Mus musculus: one gene and its partners. The protein of the gene in region 4 purifies or fractionates together with the protein of the main gene of each other region. This does not show direct contact. Links are inferred from orthologs where the notes say so. Each region holds a gene or a part of one and is shown on either strand. Other genes may lie near its edges.

Evidence for each region.
Region 1: the proteins of Sox2 (region 4) and Xrcc1 purify together in Homo sapiens (affinity purification with mass spectrometry; 3 studies listed by BioGRID and IntAct, with this or other methods). This does not show direct contact. The link is inferred for Mus musculus from reciprocal best matches to the Homo sapiens genes SOX2 and XRCC1.
Region 2: the proteins of Sox2 (region 4) and Arid1a purify together in Homo sapiens (affinity purification with mass spectrometry; 3 studies listed by BioGRID and IntAct, with this or other methods). This does not show direct contact. The link is inferred for Mus musculus from reciprocal best matches to the Homo sapiens genes SOX2 and ARID1A.
Region 3: the proteins of Sox2 (region 4) and Cct3 purify together in Homo sapiens (affinity purification with mass spectrometry; 3 studies listed by BioGRID and IntAct, with this or other methods). This does not show direct contact. The link is inferred for Mus musculus from reciprocal best matches to the Homo sapiens genes SOX2 and CCT3.
Region 5: the proteins of Sox2 (region 4) and Supt16 purify together in Homo sapiens (affinity purification with mass spectrometry; 3 studies listed by BioGRID and IntAct, with this or other methods). This does not show direct contact. The link is inferred for Mus musculus from reciprocal best matches to the Homo sapiens genes SOX2 and SUPT16H.
Region 6: the proteins of Sox2 (region 4) and Myef2 purify together in Homo sapiens (affinity purification with mass spectrometry; 3 studies listed by BioGRID and IntAct, with this or other methods). This does not show direct contact. The link is inferred for Mus musculus from reciprocal best matches to the Homo sapiens genes SOX2 and MYEF2.
Region 7: the proteins of Sox2 (region 4) and Cul4a purify together in Homo sapiens (affinity purification with western blotting; 3 studies listed by BioGRID, with this or other methods). This does not show direct contact. The link is inferred for Mus musculus from reciprocal best matches to the Homo sapiens genes SOX2 and CUL4A.

Annotation. Positions count from the first base shown.
Region 1 is NC_000073.6:24,567,199-24,570,698, reverse strand, and holds part of Xrcc1 (DNA repair protein XRCC1), read right to left. Parts: intron 3,386-3,500; coding exon 3,127-3,385; intron 2,890-3,126; coding exon 2,773-2,889; intron 484-2,772; coding exon 390-483; intron 251-389; coding exon 121-250; intron 1-120. UniProt on the Homo sapiens protein: Scaffold protein involved in DNA single-strand break repair by mediating the assembly of DNA break repair protein complexes. Negatively regulates ADP-ribosyltransferase activity of PARP1 during base-excision repair in order to prevent excessive PARP1 activity.
Region 2 is NC_000070.6:133,691,486-133,694,985, reverse strand, and holds part of Arid1a (AT-rich interactive domain-containing protein 1A), read left to right. Parts: intron 1-155; coding exon 156-323; intron 324-915; coding exon 916-1,228; intron 1,229-1,835; coding exon 1,836-1,981; intron 1,982-2,077; coding exon 2,078-2,187; intron 2,188-3,500. UniProt on the Homo sapiens protein: Involved in transcriptional activation and repression of select genes by chromatin remodeling (alteration of DNA-nucleosome topology).
Region 3 is NC_000069.6:88,307,135-88,310,634, reverse strand, and holds part of Cct3 (T-complex protein 1 subunit gamma), read right to left. Parts: intron 1,475-3,500; coding exon 1,288-1,474; intron 1-1,287. UniProt on the Homo sapiens protein: Component of the chaperonin-containing T-complex (TRiC), a molecular chaperone complex that assists the folding of actin, tubulin and other proteins upon ATP hydrolysis.
Region 4 is NC_000069.6:34,648,661-34,652,794, reverse strand, and holds Sox2 (transcription factor SOX-2), read right to left. Parts: upstream 2,801-4,134; 5' UTR 2,380-2,800; coding exon 1,420-2,379; 3' UTR 334-1,419; downstream 1-333. UniProt on the Homo sapiens protein: Transcription factor that forms a trimeric complex with OCT4 on DNA and controls the expression of a number of genes involved in embryonic development such as YES1, FGF4, UTF1 and ZFP206. Binds to the proximal enhancer region of NANOG.
Region 5 is NC_000080.6:52,173,240-52,176,739, forward strand, and holds part of Supt16 (FACT complex subunit SPT16), read right to left. Parts: intron 3,487-3,500; coding exon 3,371-3,486; intron 3,275-3,370; coding exon 3,121-3,274; intron 2,131-3,120; coding exon 2,003-2,130; intron 893-2,002; coding exon 757-892; intron 665-756; coding exon 538-664; intron 351-537; coding exon 232-350; intron 1-231. UniProt on the Homo sapiens protein: Component of the FACT complex, a general chromatin factor that acts to reorganize nucleosomes. The FACT complex is involved in multiple processes that require DNA as a template such as mRNA elongation, DNA replication and DNA repair.
Region 6 is NC_000068.7:125,120,861-125,125,133, reverse strand, and holds the start of Myef2 (myelin expression factor 2), read left to right. Parts: upstream 1-1,473; 5' UTR 1,474-1,615; coding exon 1,616-1,749; intron 1,750-4,273. UniProt on the Homo sapiens protein: Transcriptional repressor of the myelin basic protein gene (MBP). Binds to the proximal MB1 element 5'-TTGTCC-3' of the MBP promoter. Its binding to MB1 and function are inhibited by PURA.
Region 7 is NC_000074.6:13,104,429-13,108,422, reverse strand, and holds the start of Cul4a (cullin-4A), read right to left. Parts: upstream 2,801-3,994; 5' UTR 2,668-2,800; coding exon 2,520-2,667; intron 2,230-2,519; coding exon 2,114-2,229; intron 1-2,113. Other genes in the region: Pcid2 (PCI domain-containing protein 2), read left to right, coding at 3,613-3,648. UniProt on the Homo sapiens protein: Core component of multiple cullin-RING-based E3 ubiquitin-protein ligase complexes which mediate the ubiquitination of target proteins. As a scaffold protein may contribute to catalysis through positioning of the substrate and the ubiquitin-conjugating enzyme.

The DNA of each region.
Region 1 (3,500 bases), on a different chromosome or scaffold from region 4:
CCCTCCCCCTCAGACCCAGAAAGCTAGACACCAGCCCTGCCCCCAAACCCAGGGCTCAAGGCCCTAGCCCTCCTCCTCCCTCAGACATAAAGCGTGTAGACCTCTCCCTCAGATTCTAACCTGACTCTTCCCCCTCAGTGTCACTATTGTCCTGGGGTCCTGGTGACGGTGCTTTGGTCTCTTTTGGGGTTGGTGGCCTCGGGGGTGAGCTGGGTCCTGCTGCCTGGGTCTTGGCTTTGGGCTGGGGCCGCTGAGGAAGAAGGGCTAGGTGAGGTTGGGGCAGTGTGAGGCTCTGGACAGCCAGCAGCGGGGAGAAGCAGGAAGCTGAGGTATTCAGCAGACCTGGTTGGCACCCAGTATTCCCTCCTGGCCCCATAGGGGCATCAGACCTTTTGGGGAAGCTTGGGAGCTTCGTCTTCGCCGCTCTCACTGTGAGAGTCCCCTTCGTCCTCACTGCTGGATCCAAGGCCTGCCATGAGGTACCTAGGGGAGGAACTGGGCCTCAGGCAGAGGACTGAGAAGTAGAGGGAGGTGGGGATAGAGAAGGAATCCTGCTGCCCTCTGACCCCTCCCAGCCCTAGAGGGGCTCCACTACGTGCCAGGCAGTTCAGCCACCCCAGGCTCTTTCCCTCATGGGGAAGATCTGTTCCATTTAAGGCAAGAAAGAGCAATGGGGGGGGGGGGTCTACTCTTTGAGGATCAAAGGAGAATGCCAAGCAATGGGGGAAAGTCTCAAATGCAAATTCAGGTGGAACCCCACATCTGGGGTCTCTGCATCTGTACACCCAACCAATCACAGACCAGAAAGTCTGTGTCTGCACTCAACATTCAGACTCCGTTTGCTCGTCATTCCCTAAAGATTTACATGGCATTTACATAGTGCTGGATTCAAACCACAGAATGATTCAAAACATGGAAGAGCGCCGGGCGGTGGTGCACACCTTTAATCCCAGCACTCGGGAGGCAGAGGCAGGCGGATTTCTGAGTTCGAGGCCAGCCTAGTCTACAGAGTGAGTTCCAGGACAACCAGGGCTATACAGAGAAACCCTGTCTCGAAAAACAAAACAAACAAAAACAAAAAACAAAAAACCCAAAAACATGTAAGAGCACACTGGCCTAGTGAGCAGGTCTCTAATCTCAACTACTCAAGAGGCTGAGAGGCAGGATGGCCTGGGAACAGAGTGAATTGAAGTCCAGACTGAACAACTTAGTAAGACCCTCCTACACTCCAAATCAAAACCAAAAAGGCTAGGGATATACAGCACGGTGGTAGAGCCCTGACTAGAACCCCCAGTGAGGGGCTGGGGGTGTGGCTTAGCATGTGGGAAGCCTTGGGTTCAGTTCTTAGACATCCACACTCACAGTACGTGAGGCTGGAGAGACGGCTCAATGTTTAGAGCTTATACTGTTCAAAGGATCCAAATCTGGTTCCCCAGGACCCACATCAGGTGCTCACAACTGCCTGTAACTCTAGCTATAGGGGATTTGACACAACTGGTCTCCTCACGTACCTGAACACACATGTGCACCACCGCACAGATACACATACACATAATTTAAATAATAATCTTTTTTAAATGTATGAAAAGATTCTATGCAGTTTTTATGTAAATACTCTAGCATTTTATATAAGCAACTTGTATATATTTAAAGACTAACTTTTTTATTTTACACGTATGAATGCTTTGCCTGCACATATGTCTATGCATCATATGTGTGTGCTTGGTGCCTATAACAGCCAGAAGTCATCAATCACTCTGAGACTGCAGTTACAGATGGTTGAGAGTTGCTATGTGAGTGCTGGAAACTGAGTCAAGGTCTTCTAAAAGAACAACCAATGCTCTTAACCACTGAGCCATCTCTTCATTTTCAACCATCCTAAGATTTTTGATTCTTGGTACTGTGTGTGTGTGTGTCCTAGATTCAAGTCCCTACTGTGGCACACTAGCTAACTATCCTTACACACCTCAGAGAATAAAGGCGCCCACAGACACCCTCCGCACATCTGTTCAGGATGATCACAATACTGAAGCTAGATAACTAGCTCCCAGGGATCTGTGGAATCCAAGCAGGATGTGGAGTCCCCACCACTTCCAGATCAACTGACCAACCCACCCACCTCCCCTCACAGTCCCCGACATGAATGTGCCAGGGTTAGCCCTGCTTATTAAACAGACTCAAGCCACGACCTCACTGGGATCGGAGTCGGCTTCTCTCCAGCTCCACAGCTCCTGCTGTTGGCAGCCAGTGGTTCTTCTCCCGCCCACTGCGTCAGGAGATGGATGCTCATGCTGCCCATCCCTGCTTGCTCTGCAGCCCTGCATGCCCTCTGCCTGGCTGCTACCCATGCTTCTCATCCCGCGATCACTGTGCCCCTCCTGAGCTCCTCAAAGCTGGGCTCTAACACTTCTGACCCACTCGCTGAAGTGAGCACAGGGCTCAACCCCAGCGTCCTCACTTCAGTCACAGCTCTGCCTGGCACCCAAAGGATGCCAAAGGATCAGTTCTGAGGAATGGCATACAGCCCTGAGGCTCCCTTCCACCTCTGCACAGCCACAACCCACAATGTGCACAAAGCAGCCGTCATTACAAAATCCAGTGGCCCACCCAGGCTAGTGACTTCCCATCTGCAGGCCCAGCCCGTCTTTGAAAACGGCTTATGTTGGTTTGAGATCGCCTGAGCTACCCAGCAGGCCCCAGGCTCTTCATTGCCTGCTCTGGGCTAAGAGGCAGGTGTGTGCGCTGCCTAAGAGGCAGGTCGTGGGGCCTCACCTCCGGGAGGGCAGCCGGCGCCGCATGTGGTGACAGTCCAGCACCCACTCTTTACGCACAATCCGGCCTCCAAGGCCCAGGACCTGGCTGTATTTGGGAGTGTTGGCAAAGGCACAGCTGGGAGATGCAAAACAGGAATGTCAGACATGATCTGATGGACAGCTGAGACAGAACAGAGATGGAGCTTAGGGAGGGACGCAGAAAGCTGAGAACTAAGGGGGTAAAGAAGTGGGGGCTGGAGGGCACAAAGAAGCAGGGAGGGAGGATAGCAGAACAGGGACAGATGAAGCTAGCGGGGGCATGCAGGGTAGGGCAGGGCAGGGCAGGGAACCGTGTGGCAGGTCAGAGGCCTACATGAGATGTGTGCTGTCTGGGGTCCAGTCTGGCCGATACTTGGCCCCCAGTTCCAGGGCCTTGTCCCGGAGCTCTGAGCGGAAGGGGTTCTGGAAGCCACTGAGCACCACCACCACCCCTTGCAGGATCTTGCCAAGCTCTTGGGGTCCAGTGCGAGCCCCCCTAGGCTCTGTGCCTTCTCCCCGGGGCTTCCCTGGGACGGCTCTCTGTGCTGGGGTAGAGGCTGGAGCTGCAGCTGGAGTACGACTAGGGACAGACACTGGGGAGAAAAGAACAGAAATTAGGTTGGTGCCCCATCGAGCCCCAGCTCTTACAGGAAGTCAGGCTTTCCGCCTCCCTTCTTAGGATGGCAGGTTCAAGACCACAGCCCTTCC
Region 2 (3,500 bases), on a different chromosome or scaffold from region 4:
AAGTTAATATGTGCCCCATGTCTTGTCACTTTCAAGGAATCTAAATAGGCAGAGGACAGTAGCAGATCCCATGCCAGAGGCGTTCAGCGGAGTGGGGAAGCCGTTTATTCCCATTATACTGAGCAGATAATTATTTGGATACATTCCACACATAGGTTATATGCAGAGGAACCCCCAGATGCCCCAGTACACTTCCCCTCAGCCTGGCTCGGCCTTATCCCCACGTCAGCCGTCTGGAGGACAGATGCACTCGGGCGTGGGCTCCTACCAGCAGAACTCCATGGGGAGCTACGGCCCCCAGGGCAGTCAGTATGGCCCACAAGGTAAGTGTGCTACCCCTTTAGAAGGAAAGAGAGGTACTGTGTTAACGGCTGGGTTAAAAGAGTAGGGCATCCTTCCTTACATCTCCCCAGCCGAGGCCCTAGGGAGGAGTGGGGCAACGAATGGTTCATCGTGTCTTCACTCCATTCTGTCACCTTGTATGGGCCATTGATGGGCCAGCACAGGTGCTTATTAGATACAGGCGCTGTGCCATGACTGGATGTGCCTTGATCATGCATGCATGCACATAACACACAAATTAAGAAAATTTTCGGTGGGAGGCAGGGAAAATACGTAGAAAGGAAAGAATTCTATTGAATGCTGAAAGGCCTAGATAGTAACTCTGCCATCATTCTCTGTGCTGGGCAGTCAGGGATTGTGGCTCAGTAATGAACAAAGCCCTGGGATTCAGTGCTCAGCAAACCCCACCCCAAACTGGGGATGGGGCTAGAGATGTTTTCCTCCCTTAATGATGGATTTGTTCATTTTCATGACCCAGATATTGATGGATTCTAATTGTTTGGAGTTTTAAGAATTGTAGTTCTGGGACTTGCTAACCAAGGCTTGTGTTGTTTCCTCCCCACCTCTCCCCAGGAGGCTATCCTAGGCAGCCTAACTATAATGCCTTGCCCAACGCCAACTACCCCAATGCAGGCATGGCCGGAAGTATGAACCCTATGGGTGCTGGAGGTCAGATGCATGGGCAGCCTGGAATCCCACCTTACGGCACACTCCCTCCAGGGAGAATGGCTCATGCGTCTATGGGCAACAGGCCCTATGGCCCTAATATGGCCAATATGCCACCTCAGGTTGGGTCAGGGATGTGTCCTCCACCAGGGGGAATGAACAGGAAAACTCAAGAGTCTGCTGTTGCCATGCATGTTGCTGCCAACTCTATCCAAAACAGGTAAGGCCTGGGAGTGAAGAGAGGGTTCTGGTGTACAAGCGCATGCATGCAACGGAACTTGTATGTTATTGAAAGTTCTTCTAAGCACTGTGTTTTCTTTTTAACACACAGTTTAAACACATGCACAAATGTGCTGGTTCTTCAGGGTGCTAATAAAAATTGATATGACGAAGTATCCTGTGTACAGAACTTAAGCTAGGTGTGGTACTTTGTGCCTGTAGGCTACTTAGGAGTCTGGGCAGGAAAGAGTAATGGGAAAGCGACTACTGGAGGCTTATAGGCTCTGCCATAAAGCGATCCTTTAAGTAGAAACATAGCAACTTTAGGTGTTGCCTATGGGAAAGTGGTGTTTATAAAACATCATAAGACCTTATTCTTCAAGGGTTATTCCCCATCAGACTAAGCTAGTGCTTGCTTTACAGAGTTCAGGCCTTCCTTGAACCTTTGTGGCAAATAGATGTGTGGCCTCGGTTAGATTTGTGAGACTTAAAACTTTTTCTATTCTTATTAGACAATTAATTCTACTTTTTTTTTTTCCTCCTCATTCCCAAATGTAGAGGTTCACTGTGTCTCTAACCTTCTCTTTAATGTTCATCTTCTTCCTTAGGCCACCAGGCTACCCAAATATGAATCAAGGGGGCATGATGGGAACTGGACCTCCCTATGGACAGGGGATCAATAGTATGGCTGGCATGATCAACCCTCAGGGACCCCCATATCCTATGGGTGGAACCATGGCCAACAATTCAGCAGGTCAGTGTAATTGAGTGCTCATCACAGGAGTTTCTTCAAGAAAGATCTTCAAGCGGTAGTAAAATCTACTGGACCTGAACTGGTATCTTTTTACAGGGATGGCAGCCAGCCCAGAGATGATGGGCCTTGGGGATGTTAAGTTAACTCCCGCCACAAAAATGAACAACAAGGCAGATGGAACACCCAAGACAGAATCCAAATCTAAGGTTTTTATCTTTTGCCCTTTCAATTTTGTATCTTATCCCCTTTGCTGAATGATACAAGGAAAATTGAGAGCCAGGGAGTGGTGGCATGTCCCTTTAGTTCAGTACTCAGTAGGCAGAGGCAGGTGGATCTCTTGAGTTCAAAGCCAGCCTAGCCTAGTCAATAGAGCAGGTTCAGGGACAGCCAGAACTTCACAGAGAAATCCTGTCAGGAAACACAGGGTGCTAGAAGAATAAATGAAAGAGAATGACAAGGTTTTAGCATGTTATGGTGCTGGTACCCACAAAGGCTTCCATTGCCTCAGTATGTCACTCCCATTGGGCTCTGTAGTATACACTCCTCTGTGAGACTTGGCCTCTGACGCATATGCACTGATGATGAATACTGTAGGCAGCTAGCTGCCCCTCTCTTCCTAGACTTTACTCAGAGCAGCAAGAATGTTTGGTACTACAATTCTACAAGCAGAATAGTGACGCAGGTGGGGGTTGGGGTCTTAACCTCCCTGTAGGTTAGATCTAGATGTGTTGGAGTTACAGGGATTTATGAAGCCACCTGATTGGAAGCCAGCCACCTCTAAACAGCTATCATGTTTACCTGATGATCCCCTGCTTGATTGGTTTGGTTTGGTGTGTTGGGGAGTCAGTGGGTTGAGACAGGGTCTCACTAGGTAGCTCTGGATGACGTAGAACTCACTATATAGACCTGGTTGGCCTTGAACTCACAGAGATCTAGCTGCCTCTCTGCCCCCTCTATTTGCTGGGATTAAAGATGTGTGCTGCCACACCCAGTCCACATCTACATTTTAAAAATGCAAAGCTGCAGGGAACATAGAGGGGATAGCACACTCCCATAGTCCACTCCTCAGGAGCTAGGGGCGGACAAGGCTCTTTGGAGACCAGCCTAGTGTATAGAGTGAGTTCTAGCACAGGCAGGGCTACACAGAGAAACCCTGGCTCAAAAAAACAAAACAAAGTTAGGGTCTATTGAGATGGTTCTGTGGTTAGGAACACTGGTTGCTCATCCAGAGGATCTGAGTCCACTTGCCAGGCCCACATGGCAGCCCACAGTGTCTGTAACTCCAGCTCTGGGGGGCTCCATTGTTCACGTGCCCTCTTCTGCTCATGTAAGCACCAGACATATGTGTACTTAAGATCAAAACAGTCCTTGGCATGAAGTAATTTTTAAATTTTAGCATGAAAAGGACAACTGTGAAATAAAAACAATCACACAATTAATCAACGCTAAAGTCTGCGTATCTCATGAACTTCTGTGCAGTTAGAACCACCGTACCGAAACTGCAGCTTGGCAGCGGATT
Region 3 (3,500 bases), about 54 Mb from region 4:
AGGCAGGCGGATTTGAGTTCGAGGCCAGCCTGGTCTACAAAGTAAGTTCCAGGACAGCCTGGGCTACACAGAAACCCTGTCTCAAAAAAAAAAAACCCAAAAAACAAAAAACCACCTCACAGAGACCTTTCTGTTTCTGCCTGGTGTGCTGGGATTAAAGGTGTGTGACACCACTGCCCAAGCAAATTTTATTATAATGAGTATGTAATGGCCAATCTTGGTTGTCAACTGACACCTGGAATTCACTAAAACCCAAGCAACTAGCAGACCTGTGAAAGATTTTTCTTGATGGGATCATGAGGTCAGAAAGGAGCGCACTTTAAGTCTGGGCCACACCTTCTGGTGGCAGCCCATATAAAAGGACACAGGACAAGGACACTTGCTGTTTGCCTGCTCTCATTCTCTGGCAAACTCATTTTTTGCAAAAACTGTTTTGCTGATGAGGCATTAGCATCTACTTCTTTGGGATTCCAAGTAGATTGAAGACCAGGTCAGACAACCAGCCTAGAGTACAGGAGGAGTACCAGAGTCTTTAAAAAACAAATAAAATATGAGTACACTGTGGCTCTATTCAGACACACCAGAATAGGGCATTGGATCCCATTATAGATGGTTGAGTCACTATGTGGTTGCTGGGATTTGAACTCAGAACCTCTAGAAGAGTAGTCAGTGCTCTTAACCACTGAGCCATATCTTCAGCCCCTACCAGAATCTCACTTTTCTGTCAGGTGACAGCCACTGTTGGAATAGTCACTCTAATAAAGGCTCTCTTTAATATTCACCAGTTCTGTTCTCTAGAGAACCCTGACCAACAAGGTGGTTTGCCTACATGTATGTGTAATACATGTGTACCTGGTGACCTCAGAGGTCAAAAGAGGGAATCAGGTTTTCTGGAACTGGAGTTATGGATGGCTGTAAGACACCACAAGGGTGCTGGTAATCAAATGTGGGCCCTCTACATGAACAGTAGGCACTCTTAGCCGCTAGGCCATTTCACCAACCTCAGCACTTATAAAACTGATATACTCACCAGTGGCTAGTACCCACAGGCATAGATATGGACACATCAGTGTCTTTCCTTACCCTTGTAAACCTTGTGTATGGAAGGTAGTAAAGGCAACCAAAAATGGTATCAGGAATTCTCCTTGATACTCTTAGGTTATTGTTTCCAGGCTCTAAGGTAGTCCAGTTCTTCTGTCTAGTTCTAAGTAAATAAGGACACCCTACTCTGAATAGGAATGACCATGCCAGACACCTAACTCTCAAGCACATACTGGACAAGCTTACCTTTTCTACCCTTGCATATTTTTTGATGTCAATTTCCTTTCTGCCATTCTCTTCAAACTGCACAGTCTTAACAGCATCCAGTGCAATGTTGCATGCCAAGGAGGACCACCGACTGATGACTTTTGTAGTAATAGAGCTATTGATGATGCTCAACATCATCTCACGGTTATTGACATCAACAGGAGTACTGGAAAAAGAAAGCCAGAAAACAGTGAACATAAAACATTTAACACAGTCACTCATGTAAGCCTCAAAGAGCATAAGAGCATGCCAAGAACACGCCAAGAGGCAGAATGAGGTGGTTAAAGTGACAAGACATCTTGCTAAACTTTCAAATACTGCTAAAATTCCTAAAACATTTTACATGGCCAAACAGATTTTAGGGAAGAGGCAACAGCTTCCAAAAGCATCATCTAAGGTAAGTGTTCTAGGGGGCTGGAGAGATGGCTCAGCAGTTAAGAGCACTAACTGCTATTCTAGAGGTCCTGAGTTAAATTCCCAGCAACCACATAGTGGCTCACAACTATTTGTAATGGTATCTAATGCCCTCTCCTTGTGTGTCTGAAGACAATTACAGTGCACTCATAGAAAATAAATAAATAAATAAATAAGTCTTTAAGATAAGTGTTCTAGATAGGCAATTACTGCCTGATTTTAAAAAAAAAAAGTAGCCAGGGATACAAGAGAGTCAGGAGTTTTAGCCTGAGAAATATGGATCCCAGTTTTGAGAAAAACAGTCCCAGGTTCAACCCCAAAGCACTGCAAAATTCAAGTGTGGTAAATGCCTATGATTCTAGCACTTGGGAGGATGAAAAGTTCAAGGCTATCTTCAGTGCTATATACTAAGTTCCAGGTCAACCTGCCCACGTCTCAAAACAACAACTTCTGCGACTGGAGGTGCAACTTGGTGGTACAGTGCTTGGCTAACACACACATAAAGTCCTGGATTCAATACAACCTGCACCTAAACGCCACGTTTTAGAATTCATAAAAATAAATCTAAAGGTGGGGGATGGGGATATAACTAAACAATTAAGAGCACTAGCTGTTCTTCTAGAGGACCTGTGTACATTGTGTTAACTCTAGCTCCAGCGGAGTCACATTTCTGGTTTTCTCAGATACTTGCACTCATACCCACATATGCGGGTACACCCACCCACCCATGCACACCCACATCCACACATATCCCACACACCCCAACAAAGATCTAAGCATGGTAGAACACATCTTTAAATCTTAGCACTCCAGAGTCAGAGGCAGCATGATCCCTACAGATTTGAGGTCGACCTGGTTGACCAGTCAGGAGTACACATAGAAATACCCTGCTTCAATCTGCCCCTTAAGAATCTAAAGGGAGGGGAGAGGGTATGAGGGACTTTTGGGAAAGCATTGGAAATGTAAATGAGGAAAATACCTAATTAAAAAAAAAAAAGAATCTAAAGAGACCCTGATTAAAACAGCGGAAAAGAGAGTCCGTAATGAGGGAGCACATAACGGAACACATGGTGTAAAAGGATGGAATATGGGGAGTTAAAGGTTTAAGTGTGGACTAAGAGTTGAGGGATGGGGAAGAGGAGGCAGTGATGGGTGAATTAACAATGAAAAGGAATGGATGGTCAGGGCATAGAGACATAAATCTGTAATCCCAGCTCTCAGGAGGCAGGAGGATCTCTGAGGCTGGCCTGGTCTCTGTTACAGAATAAGTCCCAGAACAGCTAGGGCTACACAAAAAAACAGTCTTTAAAAAAAAAAAAAAGGGGGCTGGTGAGATGGCTCAGTGGGTAAGAGCACCCGACTGCTCTTCCGAAGGTCCGAAGTTCAAATCCCAGCAACCACATGGTGGCTCACAACCACCTGTAATGAGATCTGATGCCCTCTTCTGGAGTGTCTGAAGACAGCTACAGTGTACTTAATTATAATAAATAAATCTAAAAAAAAAAACAAAAAAAACAAAGCTGGGCAGTGGTGGCGCATGCCTTTAATCCCAACACTTGGGAGGCAGAGGTAGGCAGATTTCTGAGGCCAGCTTGGTCTACAAAGTGAGTTCCAGGACAGCCAGGGCTACACAGAGAAACCCTGTCTCAAAAAAAAAACAAAATGAAATCCCACCACCACCAAAAAGGAGAAAGGAAGGAGGTGTTTTTGAAGGTACTCTGCATGGTGAACAATGCTGCTTAAAGAAGACATGGTCATTATATGAAAATATCTGTATC
Region 4 (4,134 bases):
GTATCTCATCTGCTAAGCTACACGAAAATTTTCAGAATTGACTCGTTCTGGCAACAAGTGCTAAAGCGAGCTTAAGCCCACATCGCGCTTATTCACGCTGCTCAGGGAAGGAGGGGGGTGAACTTACAATATATGCTTCTAGTTTCTATTCTAGAAATGTCAACGCATTTCAGTTCCCCGTTATTAATCATTCGGCCATTTTTTTCTTCTGCAGTTAAAGCTAACAGACATTGCTGGTAACATCAAGATCTTGGTGGCTGAACAGTTATCCAGTTCCCCAAGAAGTTATGTATAAGCATGCTAGCCACAAAGAAATGAAAGACTCAGGCATAATTTCAGTGTCCATATTTCAAAAATTTATTTATCTCAAACTGTGCATAATGGAGTAAAAACTTAAGTTGAAAATGTAGCTGTTATAAGGATGGTATTAGTTCAAATATATACATGGATTCTCGGCAGCCTGATTCCAATAACAGAGCCGAATCTTTTAAAATACAACTACGGAAAATAAAAGGGGGGAAAAACCTTAAAATATCACAATTTACAGAAATATTACAAACCATAAGAAAATATTTCAAACACAGTAATTCCATATTTTTTATGTGAACAAAATGAAAGGGTAGGATTGAACAAAAGCTATTATAAATTACCAACGATATCAACCTGCATGGACATTTTTTTTTTGCCTTTAACAGTAAGTTAAAAATTTAGTACAATCTAGAACGTTTGCCTTAAACAAGACCACGAAAACGGTCTTGCCAGTACTTGCTCTCATGTTTTCCTTTTGTACAATTTTAAAACTAAAATGTTCAAATCCGAATAAACTCCTTCCTTGTTTGTAACGGTCCTAAATTTAAGCTGCAGAATCAAAACCCAGCAAGAACCCTTTCCTCGAAAAATATTGGCAAATTCTCAGCTTATAAACAATGGACATTTGATTGCCATGTTTATCTCGATAAATACTGTACAAAAGTTGCTTGCAAATATTAAAACTTTTTTTTCATCGCCCGGAGTCTAGCTCTAAATATTACTGGTAAAGACTTTTGCGAACTCCCTGCGAAGCGCCTAACGTACCACTAGAACTTTAAAAAAAAGTTTTGCGTAGTTTTTTTCCTCCAGATCTATACATGGTCCGATTCCCCCGCCCTCCCCGCCGCCCTCAGGTTTTCTCTGTACAAAAATAGTCCCCCAAAAAGAAGTCCCAAGATCTCTCATAAAAGTTTTCTAGTCGGCATCACGGTTTTTGCGTTAATTTGGATGGGATTGGTGGTTTTTTTCCGCAGCTGTCGTTTCGCTGCGGAGATTTTTTTTCCTTTTGAGCATTATCAGATTTTTCCTACTCTCCTCTTTTTGCACCCCTCCCAATTCCCTTGTATCTCTTTGAAAATCTCTCCCCTTCTCCAGTTCGCAGTCCAGCCCTCACATGTGCGACAGGGGCAGTGTGCCGTTAATGGCCGTGCCGGGCACCGGGCCGCTCTGGTAGTGCTGGGCCATGTGCAGTCTACTGGGCGCAGCGGGCTCCGGCACCTCGGCGCCGGGGAGGTACATGCTGATCATGTCCCGGAGGTCCCCGGCCTGGCAGGGCGCCCTGGAGTGGGAGGAAGAGGTAACCACGGGGGGGCTGGAGCTGGCCTCGGACTTGACCACAGAGCCCATGGAGCCCAGCGCCATACCGGGGGTGCCCTGCTGCGAGTAGGACATGCTGTAGGTGGGCGAGCCGTTCATGTAGGTCTGCGAGCTGGTCATGGAGTTGTACTGCAGGGCGCTGACGTCGTAGCGGTGCATCGGTTGCATCTGTGCCGCGCCGTGAGCGTTGAGGCCCGGGTGCTGCGGGTAGCCCAGCTGCTCCTGCATCATGCTGTAGCTGCCGTTGCTCCAGCCGTTCATGTGCGCGTAGCTGTCCATGCGCTGGTTCACGCCCGCACCCAGGCCGGCGCCCACCCCAACCCCGCTCGCCATGCTGTTCCCGCCGGGGGCCAGCAAGCCTCCGGGAAGCGTGTACTTATCCTTCTTCATGAGCGTCTTGGTTTTCCGCCGCGGCCGGTATTTATAATCCGGGTGCTCCTTCATGTGCAGAGCGCGCAGCCGCTTGGCCTCGTCGATGAACGGCCGCTTCTCGGTCTCGGACAAAAGTTTCCACTCCGCGCCCAGGCGCTTGCTGATCTCCGAGTTGTGCATCTTGGGGTTCTCCTGGGCCATCTTACGCCGCTGCCCCCGGGACCATACCATGAAGGCGTTCATGGGCCTCTTGACGCGGTCCGGGCTGTTCTTCTGGTTGCCGCCGGTCGCCGCCGCCGTGGCGTTGCCTCCTCCGCCGCCGCCCCCCGAAGCTTGCTGCGGGCCCGGCGGCTTCAGCTCCGTCTCCATCATGTTATACATGCGGGCGCTGGGCGGGCGCGGCCCGCCGGCGGCCGCCAACCCTCGGCCCGGCCGGGACTGTGGGGGCCGCGCTCGGGGGCCGGGATGCAGGGGCCGCGGGCGGGGGCCTCGGCGTGCACGGCCCTGCGCGGAGATCTGGCGGAGAATAGTTGGGGGGAAGCGGAGCTCGAGACGGGCGAAGTGCAATTGGGATGAAAAAACAGGCGCTCTCCTCCTCGGGCCGCCGCGATTGTTGTGATTAGTTTTTGGAAAGGCTTAAGCCTCGGGCTCCAAACTTCTCTCCTTTCTTTCTCTCTCCTCTTCTTTCTCCCAGCCCTAGTCTTAAAGAGGCAGCAAAGTACTTTTCCCTTTTTGCAAACACTCTCTTCTCTGCCTTGACAACTCCTGATACTTTTTTGAACAAGTTAATAGACAACCATCCATGTGATGGGGGCTGTCAGGGAATAAATGGGTTTCCGGCGGCCAATCAGCGAGCGCCGGCTCCTGCGCCCGAGCCCAGCCTCGCCAGAGGGTTTTGCATGAAAGGGGGCGGGGCCTGCCGCGCCGCCGAGCCGAGCCCAGCAGAGCGCTGTGCCCCGAACCGCGCGGGGGAGGCGGGCCCGCAGCCGGCCGCTGGGGAACCTTTGTATCCCCCCCCCCCGCCCCCCGTTTTCAGCAACAGGTCACGGCGCACGCCTGTTCGAAGGAAGTGGGTAAACAGCACCAAGACGACAGCTCCTTTCCCCCATGCTACGGAATATTGGCTCTCTCTTGGATACATAAGGGTGGATGGGGCGCGGGAAGCTGGGGCCAGGGTGGGGCAAGGCCCATGGGTGGTTCAGGGCGACTGTCCAACTAGTATTTCAGGAAGCTGGCAGAGCCGGAGGTGGTGTGCCATTGTTTCTGCGCTCATCCGCGGCACTGCGCTCTGTCGCAGCCCCTCTTCCAACCTTGTCGCCAGCACCCACTCACCCCCTCTTCTCACCGTACAGACGAGAAGTTAGACCCAAGCCTCGGGCCTCAGCGCCCTCCTGGCTTCCGTGTCATCGGCTCGGTTCCCAAACACGAGTCCTCTGCCCATGTAGCTGACTGTAGAGCAGAGCTAGGACCAGGCCTTGTTCCCAGCCTTTTCCTAGGCCGACTCAGGTGTGGCTCAAGGAACCGCAGCACGTGTCCTCAACCCCTAATTCCCTACTCCACCAACCTGCCCCATCCAAAGGGTGCAAAGGCAAAGCTGGAACTCTGCTCCCGCTCTTTCTAACTCCCAACCCTGACACAAGAGGATTTTTAGTGGTGGCAGTTTCAGAGGAAACCTTGGGGACGAAAGCATCAACGGAAAGAAGCTCCCGAGTGCAGGGGATGGGGGGAGGGTCACGCAACTTCCTGGCATCCCACCGCGAGGCGCGGAGGTGGCATTTGGGCTGCGCTCACAAACTCCCTCCCACGCAGCGTTCTCAGGATGGGGCAGCGCAGCCGGCATTGCCCCTGCTGACAGGCACGGTGGTAGTCACGAAGGCCCGGCCGAGAGGCGCCGGGGCCTGGGAAGCGCGCGGGGTCCAGAGGTGCAGGTGCAGGCGGAGAGAAGGCCCGCCGAACCCGAGGAGCCGGCACCAAGCAAGCCCAGGCTGTGGGAGAATGGGCTGGGGGCGGGGGTAGGGGTTCAAGAATCTTGCCTGCCCAGGACCCGAGAGGGTAATTTTAGCCGATCTCCCATTGTCCAGACGTAAAGATTTCAATCGGCAGGCGCTCAAAAAGCCCAGAGCCACAGCCCCACGT
Region 5 (3,500 bases), on a different chromosome or scaffold from region 4:
AGATAGAGACATTTCCTTTCGTGGTGTAGTCGCTTAACAGGTACCCTGATTCCTGCAAATAACTTTAACCATACCCCTGTATGCAACTGTAATCAAAGTCACTAGCCTACTGTACTTTATAATCATGTTTTTAAAAACCTCTTTACCGAATATAGTTTTTTAAAATAAGTTAGAAAAATTCAGTTTTTGCCGAGAGCTCTGAATCACGCTAGCTTAGGCAGAAGTGTGTACCTTGAGGTGAAAGTGCAAAACAATAATCATCTCGCCATCACAGGGCTGGAACAGCGCATGCTTGATATTATTGTACAGAATATCCACCTTGTCTCCTCGAACAGATGTGAATCGGAAACCTGTGGCAAACAACAGGGTCACCAAGTGTTAAGCAGTGTCATCTTAGGCTTGAACAAGGTCAGAGAGACACCATTTATCAAGTCCCCATGTGTTCTGGTCATCTTGTCCCCTGCTTCCTTCCATCACTGTAGCATGTTCTACTCTGGGAAGCTACAGTCCAGCACAGGAGAGGGCGTCCGTACATACCATTGACATGAGCCTCCAGTGAGCCCTGCATTCTCTTCTGGGCAATGTTTGGACGAATGTACAGGTCTTTCAGTTTTGGATTACTCCGGTTTAGGTTGATCACCAGCGAGTCTTGTTTTACAATGCCCTAAGGGTCACAAAACAGTGTGTGCATGGAGCCTTCATACCAACTTCCAAAGACCTGTCTGTACAAAGGTGCCTAGTTGTGTTCAGACTCACCTCTTTTTCTTTCTCTTCAGCTTCTCTGGTCTTGTAACGTTTTTGTACTTCTTTTATAATTCGGAACGCATTCTGAAGATTTAAGGCGGGTACAGTCTGCTCTCCAGGTGCTTTCATATTTGAAGCTCGGTATGTACTGTAGAAGAACATTTGTATAGATGTTTATCAGGCTAGGAAACCCAAACCCATCATTACAGTTTTTAAGTGGCTTAATTTCTCTATTGTGTGTATGTGCCATGTGTTTGTGTAGAGGCCAGAAGTCAACATTGAATGTTTTTCTTAGTAACTTTTGCCCTGTTTTAGGAGACGCTCTCTCTCAGATCTATCTAGATGGACTGGTTAGCAAATTCCAAGGGTCCTCTCCCTGTCTCTACCTCCCCAATGCTGGGACTACAAATGTAATCTACTGCACCTATATTTATGTATTTTAATGTGGGTCTTGGAGCCCTGAACTTCAGTCCTCAAGCTTATATGATAAGCACTTTACCAATTTTTTCCAAGTCTATCTTTTAAAAGACATCATATGTAGTGCAAACGGGCTTTGACCTTGCTATGTTCAAAGGCTGGCCTTAAACTCCCAATCCTCCTGTTTCACCTCCTAAGGGCTACCATGCCCAGATGGCTTAACATGTTTTTAAAAGAAAAACCACCACTAAATATGGGAATGGTAGGAAATCAGAAAAAAATATATTTTTCTTTTAAGTGGAAAATATCAATAGCTAATTCCCTGGAGTAGGGAAACTACACTTTTATTTTTTCAAATTTTATACAGTATCTCCCAATATTCTATACCACTCCATGATGGAAGAGAATTCAATGCAACATAACATTTTCTTTCTTCTTTTTTTGTTTCTATTTTGAGATAGTTCTCGCTATAGTTCAGGGTTGCCTGGAATTAATTTTGTAGACCAGGATGCATTGAATTTGTAAACTTTTTGCCTCAGTCTCTTAAATGTGAACTTCAAGCTATGCTGTGTGTTGCCACAGTTGGCCCACAGATGTTTTGTTTTTTTTTTGCCTGAGGATTCAATTGCAAAATGTGTAGTGTGATATAAAATAGCCATATGAGAAATATAAATTAGGATCCATACTTAAAACATTACAAAGTCAGCAATGTAATCCTAAACAAATGCCACCAAGGAAGGCTTTGCAGTGGGTTCTTGTGAAAGGATGTAGCAGGGAATGGACATGTGAGGTCATTGCACCACTAGCACAGGTTGGAGACGTTTGTTTCCCAGGGACTCACATTTCCTTGACAAAAGTGGCTTCAGGGTTAGGAAAGATGTTGCCCTCATTCCTGCCCAGAGCACTGCCTGGACAATAGAAGTTGATTCGCAAGTAAGTATAGTCTCCTTCGACAGACATACTTATGTTCTGTTCAAAGAAAGAGAGGAAAGTTAGCTTTGTTACTAGATTATAAAGATGCTAAAATGAAGTTAGCAGTTAGGAGTATGAGGGACTAAGAACAAAGCTCAGTGGCAAAGCATTTATCTAGAGTGGGCAAGGGCCTGGTTCAATTCCTAGCTGCAGAAGAAAAAGGCCAGAGTTTGCTGTTCCTTCAGCTGAACCTATAAAACTGAACCAAAATCGAGATAGAAATATTCAGCAGTGTTTTTCACATAATTAAGAAAGTGTTTCCAAAAAAAAAAAAAAAAAATCACCTAGCTATAAAAGTATCTTGTGACAGGAATACAATTTAGGATTAAATAATAGTTACAAATTCAAGGAAAGACACACACATGATAGGGGCTTGAGAGATGGCTCAGATGGCAAAGTGTTTGCTGCACAAACACAAGGAACCAAGTTTGGGGCCCTAACACCCACATAAAATCCAAGTGAGGTGTGCATGTCTATAATCCTAGGGTTAATGGTGGGCAGAGACAGGGATTTCCAGAGCTTGGTGGCCAGCCACTCTAGCTAATCATTGGGCTCAAGTGTCAATAAAAGATCCTGCCTCAAAAAACAGGGTTGCAAGAGAGAGAGAGAGAGAGAGAGAGAGAGAGAGAGAGAGCGCACACAAGCTATCTATGAACTTAAGACACCAGACACTGACATATGGCACATGCATCTTATACCCCCAGGGACACACACACACACACACACACACACACACACACAAATACACTCAAACATATACAGCACAAAACAACAACAATAACCCCCCACCCCCCAACTGGTAAATGGATTCCTTTTCTGGTCTAATTTAGCTTCCTACAAAGTGAAAACTGAAAGGGAAGGAAAACAACAGTGGGAGATAAAGGAGAAAGCAGACAATCAGCACACTGGAGTGTGAAAGGTCAAGGTAAGAGAAGATCAGAGAATTAGGCAGACACACTAGAACCTTGGATACTTGAATACTGGTACCTTGATTGTGGCAATATGGAAGGGTGTGGCAATGCCAAACACAGGCATTATCACAGTCTCATATTTCTTATCAATATAGATCTTCATCTCCCGAATATGTGGTTCCTTAGGCATCAGAGATGGGTTTTTATAGGACACATTAGATTTTCGAGCTCTGGAGTGGGGTTAAAAATAAAGCAAAAAGACAATTGAGAAATCCCTACGGTCACATCATCTCTAGACTATCACCTTGCTCAGTGTGGACTCCTACTTCTGAATCTGCTGTTCCCCTTTCTGCTCTGTCAGCCTCCTCTTCGCTTCCTCGTTGAGCTGTGCTGCCAGTTCCTTCTGATGTGCTCTTCGCTTCTCTTCTGCAGTCATCTCATTCTAGCAAAGTGAGA
Region 6 (4,273 bases), on a different chromosome or scaffold from region 4:
ACGTGGTTTTTTTTTTTTTTTTTAAGATAGGCTTATTGGGGTTGGAAATTCCAAGACACTGCCCCCCAAAGCTCAGTCATTAAGAATAGCTCTTTTAATGGGATATTTAAATTGGCATACTCTGGAGTATGGGTAAGTCTCATGTGTGTGTTTAATTAAATTGTGCTTTTAGCTCGATTACAGCTCTTGAATAGTGCTGTTTCCCAAAGTCCTCCTCCAGCAGAGCTCTAGTGTCCCTTCCGAACCTTCTATTATGGTTTGGTCACGATGAACTCTTGAAAAGTGTTGAAATGTGAAAAAGGTTTTTGCAGGAATCTACTAGTCCAGGACTGTCAGATGGAGTTCCTTGGAGAAATTCAATGGTAACAAAAGAATACATGGAATAGTGAATACTTTGAAATCTAGGGTTGAGGTGGGGTGGGGTGGGTTAATCTGGTTTCTCCTTGATTGAAACCCCATGGGAGCCTTAAGAGATAGACTGCGATACTGTAGCACTTGGCCCTAGATGAAGTGTTTTCTTTAAATCTCTACCTTGCAGGGAAGGAACTGCTGTCTTTACCTGAAGAGAAGTGGAGAACTGAAATGCCTCAGCCGAGGAGAAAGCCTAATTTTCTCTGCCAGATTCCAGCACCTGTCTGCTAACTGCAACCATTAGGCCCCAGGGGTGACAGTACAGAAACACAAAAGTATCTGTTGTGTTTAGGACACTATGTGGGTAGAACGCCAAACTCAGAATTTTGTAGATGACTCTCATCTCTAATAAACTGTGTCTGCCTTATGCTGTTCACTTTTTTTTTAAAGAAGGAAACATTTGAGGAGGTCTTAGCTTTTTTTTTCAACTGAAAAAGGCCATTTTAGTGTGAAGTGTAATCATGACACTCAGGTTTATGAATCTTTAGTATTTAGGGGTAAAATCTATAATCCAAACCAAAATATGCATTTGTAGCTAGTCTTGTATAAGACTTCTTTTAAAACAATTTGTTTTTTCCATGTGTGCGTGTGGTTTGCCTGCATGTATATCTGTGCACCACAGACATACCAGCGCCTATGGAGTCAGAAGAGGTCGTTGGAGCTCCTGTATGTGGGTGCTGGGAACCGAACCCAGGTCCTTGGCAAGAGCAGCAAGTCATCCTAACTGCTGAACTCCTCCAGCCCCCTTGTACAGGTTTTCTTAAGAAAATGATGGACTGTCCAAATCGATAGCTGCCCCGAGAATGTAAAAACTTCGACCTCTTAGCTGATTGCTAAGGTCTACAAAAATCTTCAGCCCTCAAAGAAAGTGGTCAACTTGTCCTCAGCTACCGGTGCTCGCTGGCGGGTTCGTAGAGCATCCACCCGCAGAGATGGAGCTGCCATAGTCCTCTCATCCAAAGGCCCCGTCCCCGAGGACCCCCATCTCTGCCCCCCCAGGCAGCCCGCGCTCCCTCCGCAGGTGGCCGCGCCGGAGCCCCGCCCCCACTCACTCCCCAAGTCGCGGGGCCTCGTCCGCTCTCGCGAGATCCCGGCCGCCGAGCGCTCGGGGCCTTTTCAAATCGCGATCCGTTACCGCTTCTCCGGCCGCCGCCATTGTAGCGCTCGGAGCCCTCATCGCGGCCGAGGCGGAGCCCGCGGCGGGATGGCCGATGCCGACAAGTCCGAGGCGGCCGCGGGTGACGACGGCTCGCAGCAGCAACCGGCTGAGCCGCGGCGAGACACGCACCCCGGCGAGCCCGAGAAACCGCCGCGCAGCAGCGCCAACGGCGTTAAAATGTATTGTCTCCCCCGGGCGGCCGGGCGGGAGGGCGGCCGGGCAGGGCGGGAGGCGCGGGCGGCCCCGGGGCGGGAGCAGGTGCGGTGCTGGCGGCCCCGGCCTCGGGCGCGCGGAAAAACGGTCCCCTTTAAAAGGCCCGAGGCTAGCCTCATCCTCGGGGAGGACCCAGGGATGACATCATCGGTCCTTTCCCCTCCCGGCCCGGTTCCGAGCCCCGGTGAGGGCCGCGTGTGCGGTGGTGGCTTCCAAAGTGTTAGAGCTCACCGAACCCATTGTGTTCCTCTTGATTGGCTTTCGAAAAAGGAGGACTTGGTCTCCTCCACCCACCCGGTGATGGTTGTGGGCCGTGCAGGCTGGTTTATTTATTCATTTTTTTAAAAACACAAACTCAGTGTGTAGTGGCCTTCATTTTACTATAATTCACTTACGATATAATTAAATTACTGAAATATAAATCTGAATTTGGCAAAACTGGGAACGCAACCCAGGGCCTCGTGCAGTCTCCAGGCAGGCGCTAGGCCACAAAATGACACCCCCCCTCCACCGAATGCAGTGCTTTTTTTGTAGAAGAAAACCCGAGGGCTGAAGGTTGGATCTGTCATCTGTGTCTGTAGAGAATTTAGTCGACGTTAATCCATAAGATCTTAAGTTGTAAGGCAGTAGGATAGGGGCAGATTGTGCTCGGCTGTCCTTGTCACGTGGGGCTATGTGAAGGCAAACATTTATTTTCCTATGGCTTATTCTGTAAAAACTGAAGTTGAAAATAATGCCAGTAATTTGTTAAAACACCCTCCACCTCTCCATCCTGCCACGGTAGAAAGCAGTGAACACATGCTTTCTGACATGAAGTCAGAAAAGGGAAAATGTCTTTCTGGCTTTTGTGTGGAAATACTTGAGGCAGTGATTTGGACCAGTCTGTTGAAACCGGCTGAATTGAATTGGTTGCAAACTAGATGGGGTAGTGCTCCTCAGCTTCTCTATGACAGTCTCGCTCTTAGGGTGACATCATTGTATATTTTTTCTTAACCACTGACAACGTATTTAAGAGGAATTACCCCAGTTCCCTGGGGCCTATCCTGAGCTTTAGAAGTTCAGTGTTTGCTGTTTTCCTGATGCCTATATTCATTTTTGAAATGATATATGATATATGTGGAGAGGCACTTTAAGAGCGTTCCATTAGACAGAGCCTGTTGTGTTACCTTTGAATTGGCTAGGAATACCTTAAATATGGACATTCGTCTCCCTACCCACCTGGTGACTTTTGAACAGGAAGCATCGTGTGAGCAGAACAGAATTTTGCAGGTATCAGATTTGCAGGGCTTGAAAGTCAGTGCAGTTTGCTCATGGATGGAGAGTGTGCATGCATCAACCACCGAGAAATCAGAAAGCAAGGAAAGCCTATCTCTTATGCCTGTCAGATCTTGGGCTTTTTCAGAGATTTGCTATTAAAAATAGAAAAAAAAAGTGGAGTGACTGTAACAATATAGTCACCCTCTGTGTCTTTGGATTCTGTATTCATGGAGTTAATGGTGAATTGGAAATACCCACATTGTATCTATATGGAAAGTAAGCATACATGATACACGCGTTGTTTTAGGTATTATAAGTAAGGCAGAGAGTGAAGTGTGTGTGAGATTGTGCTACGTCCCATGCACACACTGTGTTTTGGGAAAGGGCTAGAGTATCTGGACTCTAGCTGTGGGGTGCAATGGGGCTGAGGGGTACAGGGTTGTATTACTAATGTGTACCTAGTAGTGAGGGTGCCACTGTTTGTTTTTTTTTTTTTCCTGAAGAAAATAATCATTGAATCTTATAATGTTGGTATTTGTGAAGCTGGTATCTAAACTTCTATTAGACCCAAAAATACAGTGTCTACAGTTGCATTGCAGGATGGGAAAAGAGGTGAGAAAGAACCATTTTCTAATTTAAGGAGAGAAAATATAGGGCAATTGTTAACAGTAAATACAGATTGTTTCCTTATTCTAATTCATTCTTTCCATATTTTCTCAGTGTTGAGTAGAGACCAATGTACTCTAAGGAATTTCTTACACCTCTGCTGGGCCAGCGTAGGTAGTCACAGTGAATACTTAGGGACTTGAATCTTCTGTGAGTCTACAGTGTGACAACCTGTGGGGTGGTTGACACTTTGGGCTGATTACCATGCTTTCAATGATAAGTCATTAAAAGAAATTTGATAACCAGACATTGCTTTACAACATCCACTGCTTCGAAGTGAGCCATGTGCTGCTATTGGGACTGGAACACCTTGTATTAATGCAGTCACAGCAGACAGAGGGGGCTGTCCTTTTCATCCTGTCACCTTAAATGTTAAAGGTTCACTGAGTATCCATTGAAGAAATAGAGGAAGACATTTTGAGATCCTGAGACTCATGGAAAAGATTTAGTTGGCTTGTTCATCTCTAGACAGGAATTAAAGATCCTGTTTTCTCTGTCTACACTGAAGTGTTTTGGAAGGAAAGCAGTAACTATTTTGTGACTCTTCATTAGTCTTGTATGATTACA
Region 7 (3,994 bases), on a different chromosome or scaffold from region 4:
TTACCGGGGAGGGAAACAGTCTACATTTTCACTGAGCGGCTGGCAAACAACTCTATCTTAGGCCATTAAAATCTACTGGGACAAGTATGTTAGAGTTAACCTATAGCCCCGGCACATGAGCGGCAGCCGGGACTAATACCCAGTGAGACCTTTTTTTTTCCCCATAGTTATAAGGTACACTGTCCCAGTCTTCACACATACCAGAAGGAGGCATCAGATCCCATGACAGATGGTTGTGAGTCACCATGTAGTTGCTGGGAATTGAACTCAGGACCTCTGTAAGAGCATTCTTAACTGCTGAGCCATCTCTCCAGCCCCACAGTGAATCTCGTAAAAAATAAAACCAACCGACTCTCTCTTCTCATAAAAAAATAAAATAAACAAAATAAACCTACTGGAGCACATGTCACATGCCCCCAACACTGTATTCATATGCACACCTACACATAGGCACATACTTAAAATAATAAAAATAAAAGCAAATCTTTAGGCGGGTGTAGTAGTGCATAATGTTAATTCCAGCACCAAGAGACAGAGGCAGGAAGATCTCTGTAAGTCAGACTGTTCACAGTGAGTTCTAGAATAGCCAAGGCTACACAGTGAGCCCTGTCTAAACAAAACAAAAACAAAACCTTAAATAAAATCCTCTCCTTCAATACACAATCAACTCACAAACTTAAGACAAAGAACAGACACATATACACCAATCCGTCACCATCGGCCAGTGGTCCCTTACCCAGAATGCTTGGGGCTACTAGTGTTGTGGATTTCAGATGTTTTTCTTCCGGATTAATACTTGCACATACACAATGATGTATCTGGGTACTGAGAATCAAGTGTAAACAGACACAAAGCTGACTCGTACCCCATATCCCTTGTTTTATCATTGTGTGTGTACACCAAGTGTATGTGTGGGTGCTTGTGTCACGTCAAGAGGCTGGAGGTCTGGGGATGCGTCTCCAGTCAGTTTTCTCCTTCCACCTTTTTGAGGGTTCTGAGGTTCGAACACAAGTTGTCAAGCTGGCTCTGCCAGCGCTTTACCTACTGGGTCATCTGGCTGGCCCTAGCTCGATGGTCATTTTATTCAACAGTTTTAGCATATACTGTGTTCTGTCTGAGGCCCAGCAGAGGAAGTCAGGTGTGGGTCTTTTTTTCATGAGTGCACTACAAGTTTTGGATTTGGGAGTTTGGGGTTGGGAGTGATGGGCCTGCCACAGGTTCCTTCGGGTACCACTGCTTACTTTTCTTCTTGTGCTTTCTGTAACTTACAATACACTCAGTTTGTAACCAGGATAAAACAAGCCTCTTAGGTAACTTTTAAGTAACATATAAGTAATTATTTGTTCTATCACAAACTAAAACACAGAATATTTAGCAGTTATTGTATAAAACCATGACAGAAAAGTGTGCTTGAAACAGCAAAATGTACTTCGGATGATTTTCCCCCCCTGTTGCAGACACAACTTGTCTTTAAGTTAAAACTACCAGAATCGCCGGGCGTGGTGGCGCACACCTTTAATCCCAGCACTCGGGAGGCAGAGGCAGGTGGAGTTCTGAGTTCAAGGCCAGCCTGGTCTACAGAGTGAGTTCCAGGACAGCCAGAGCAACACAGAGAAACCCTGTCTCAAAAAAAAACAAAACAAAACAAAACAAAAACCCTACCAGAATCTGTCTGCAACCTTATTTGCAATAATTAAACTACAAAACAGTGTGTGTGTGTTGGGGAGGGGGTGTGTGTGTCACAACCCAGGGACCCTACTAGCAAGTGGGGCCGTACTGAGTTCCATGTATAACACACTGGCACTCTGATAACACTGAAGACTGCTGGGGGCTCTGTGCCTCTTAGCTCCAAACACCTCCTTTCTTCTGGCGCTGGGAAAACGTACACCTCCTAAGCAGCCTGGTCTAAGCCTCAACACACAGCACTAATCCAGGGCGGCGATCCATAGAAACACCTGCTGACCCAGGGTTTCGCGGCTTCCGCTAGGGAAGGCTCGGGCCGCAGCTTCTCCCCGGGCGGGCGGGCGGACGGGCGGGCCTCCCTAGCGTTGGCCCCGGTGGCTGCTGGAGGAGGAACCCAGCCAGGTGCTCGCAGGCCCTCGCCGCCGCTCACCTGGTACAGCTCCTCCAGGTTGTACCTGATGGATGTGCTGCTCTGGATGGCCTTGACCGCTTCGTGAAGCTTCCGCCACGTGTCCTGAGTGTAGTTGTCAGGCAGCCGCGGCCTGTCTGTGGGGGAGAGAGGGTCAACGGCCGCGCGGGGACAGCACAGGCCGGGGCACCGAGGCAGGGCCCGGCCGGGCTAGCCAGGAGGTGCGGGATCGGGGCCAGCTGGGGCGCGGGGACGTGGCGGAGCGTGAGGTGCAGGGACAAGTCGGGTTGCGGCGCCGAGACGGGACAGTGCGGGAACCAGGCGGGCCGGGGCGCGGGGACAGGGCCTGCCGGGCAGCCCCAGGAGGCCCTGTCCGAGCGCGCGACCCGCCGGCCGCCCCGTTCGCTCCTCACCGGAGCGCACCCACCTCGGAAGTTCTTGATGACCAGCTTCCTGGAGCCTCCCGTGCCCCCCGGCTTGGCGGGGCCACCGGCCAACGCCGCGGGCTTGGTGAGGCCGTTGGTGCGGCCCATGAGAGCCGAGACGCTGCCCTTCCGAGGGCCCTCGTCCGCCATGGCTGGGCCGGACGCCGCCCCGCCCCGCGCCGCCCGGCTCCTCCTCCTGCCCTGCGCCCGCTCCGTGCGCGCCCGGCTCCTCCTCCTGCTGCTGTCGGGCTCCGCCCGTGAGCGCTCGGCTCCTCCTCTTTCTGCTCGCGGCCGGGTCCGCGCGCCCGAGGCCCAACCGCCGCGGCGCGCACCGGAACGATCCGGCTCCTCCTCCTATGCGCGAACTCCGCCCAAGGAGGGCTCGGGGACTCGCAGGCGTTCTACAACGAATGCTCGCGAGAGGGCGCCGTGACACCTGCACCGAGGGCTCCGGAGCTCGCCGCCCCACGTCACGTCGAGGGCCGTGACGAGGACACCCCGGCGAGGACTTGAGTGGATAAAAGCACCCGGCAACCTTGCCTCCTGGATCACCTTACACCTAGGATGCTCAGGGATGCTGCTCCGTGCGCTAGCGCGCCGAGGGGTTGGGGACGGGATGCTCTGCACCCATTTATCTGGGGTGCCCCAGTGTGAGATGTGGGAGGACTCAGGAACACATCCTAGGAGTGCGCGGGACGCCTTCCCAGTGGGCTCTGGACTTTGGTTCCGGGAGAGTCAGGAGCGCCTCTGCACACGGAGGGTTGGGGATCGGGTCACCCTCATGGGAGAGGGGTGCGAGGAATCGGGTCGCTAGCACACCGACGTGACCAGGGACACGTTCCCAAGTCGGTTGGGAACTCCTCCACGTCAGTCCTCCGCCCTCGCGCGCGCCCCCGCCGCACCCGAGGCGTCCCGGCGACCGCGCTGACAGCTGCCCCCAAAGAAGTGCTCTCACCACCGGCTCGGCTCGGCTCGGCTCGGCTCGCTCCACCTTCACCCGCTCCGGAACCAACGTGCAGAGGTTACCGTGTGGGGACAAGGAGCGGAAACGGACCTGCGCCGGAAGTGAGGCACTCAACACCCGCGGCCGCCGCTATGGCGCACATCACCATTAACCAGTACCTACAGCAGGTGGGTTTCGCTTGGTATCCTGGCCTACGGGCCACGAGGGGTGAGTCCTGGGGCCGGGTCGGACGGTGCCGGGGGTCCTGCGGCTGGCCTCGAGGCGAGGAGGGTGTGCTGCACGCGGTGGGCAGCCTGCCTTGTTCGGAAGTTGCAGGTGCTGCCCGGTGGACCAGGAGGAGGAGGATCCGAGGTGGAGGTAGCAAGATCGGGGCCACTTGTAGAAACGGTTGTCTGTGTAGTCAGCGCTGCTGTCCGCACGAAGCACGTTGTGTCTCTTGGCAGCGGTGCCCATCAAGGCTTTACTTAAAGCCTGGGAGTGGCACAGGCAAACACTGTTGCATCCGGGTGGAGG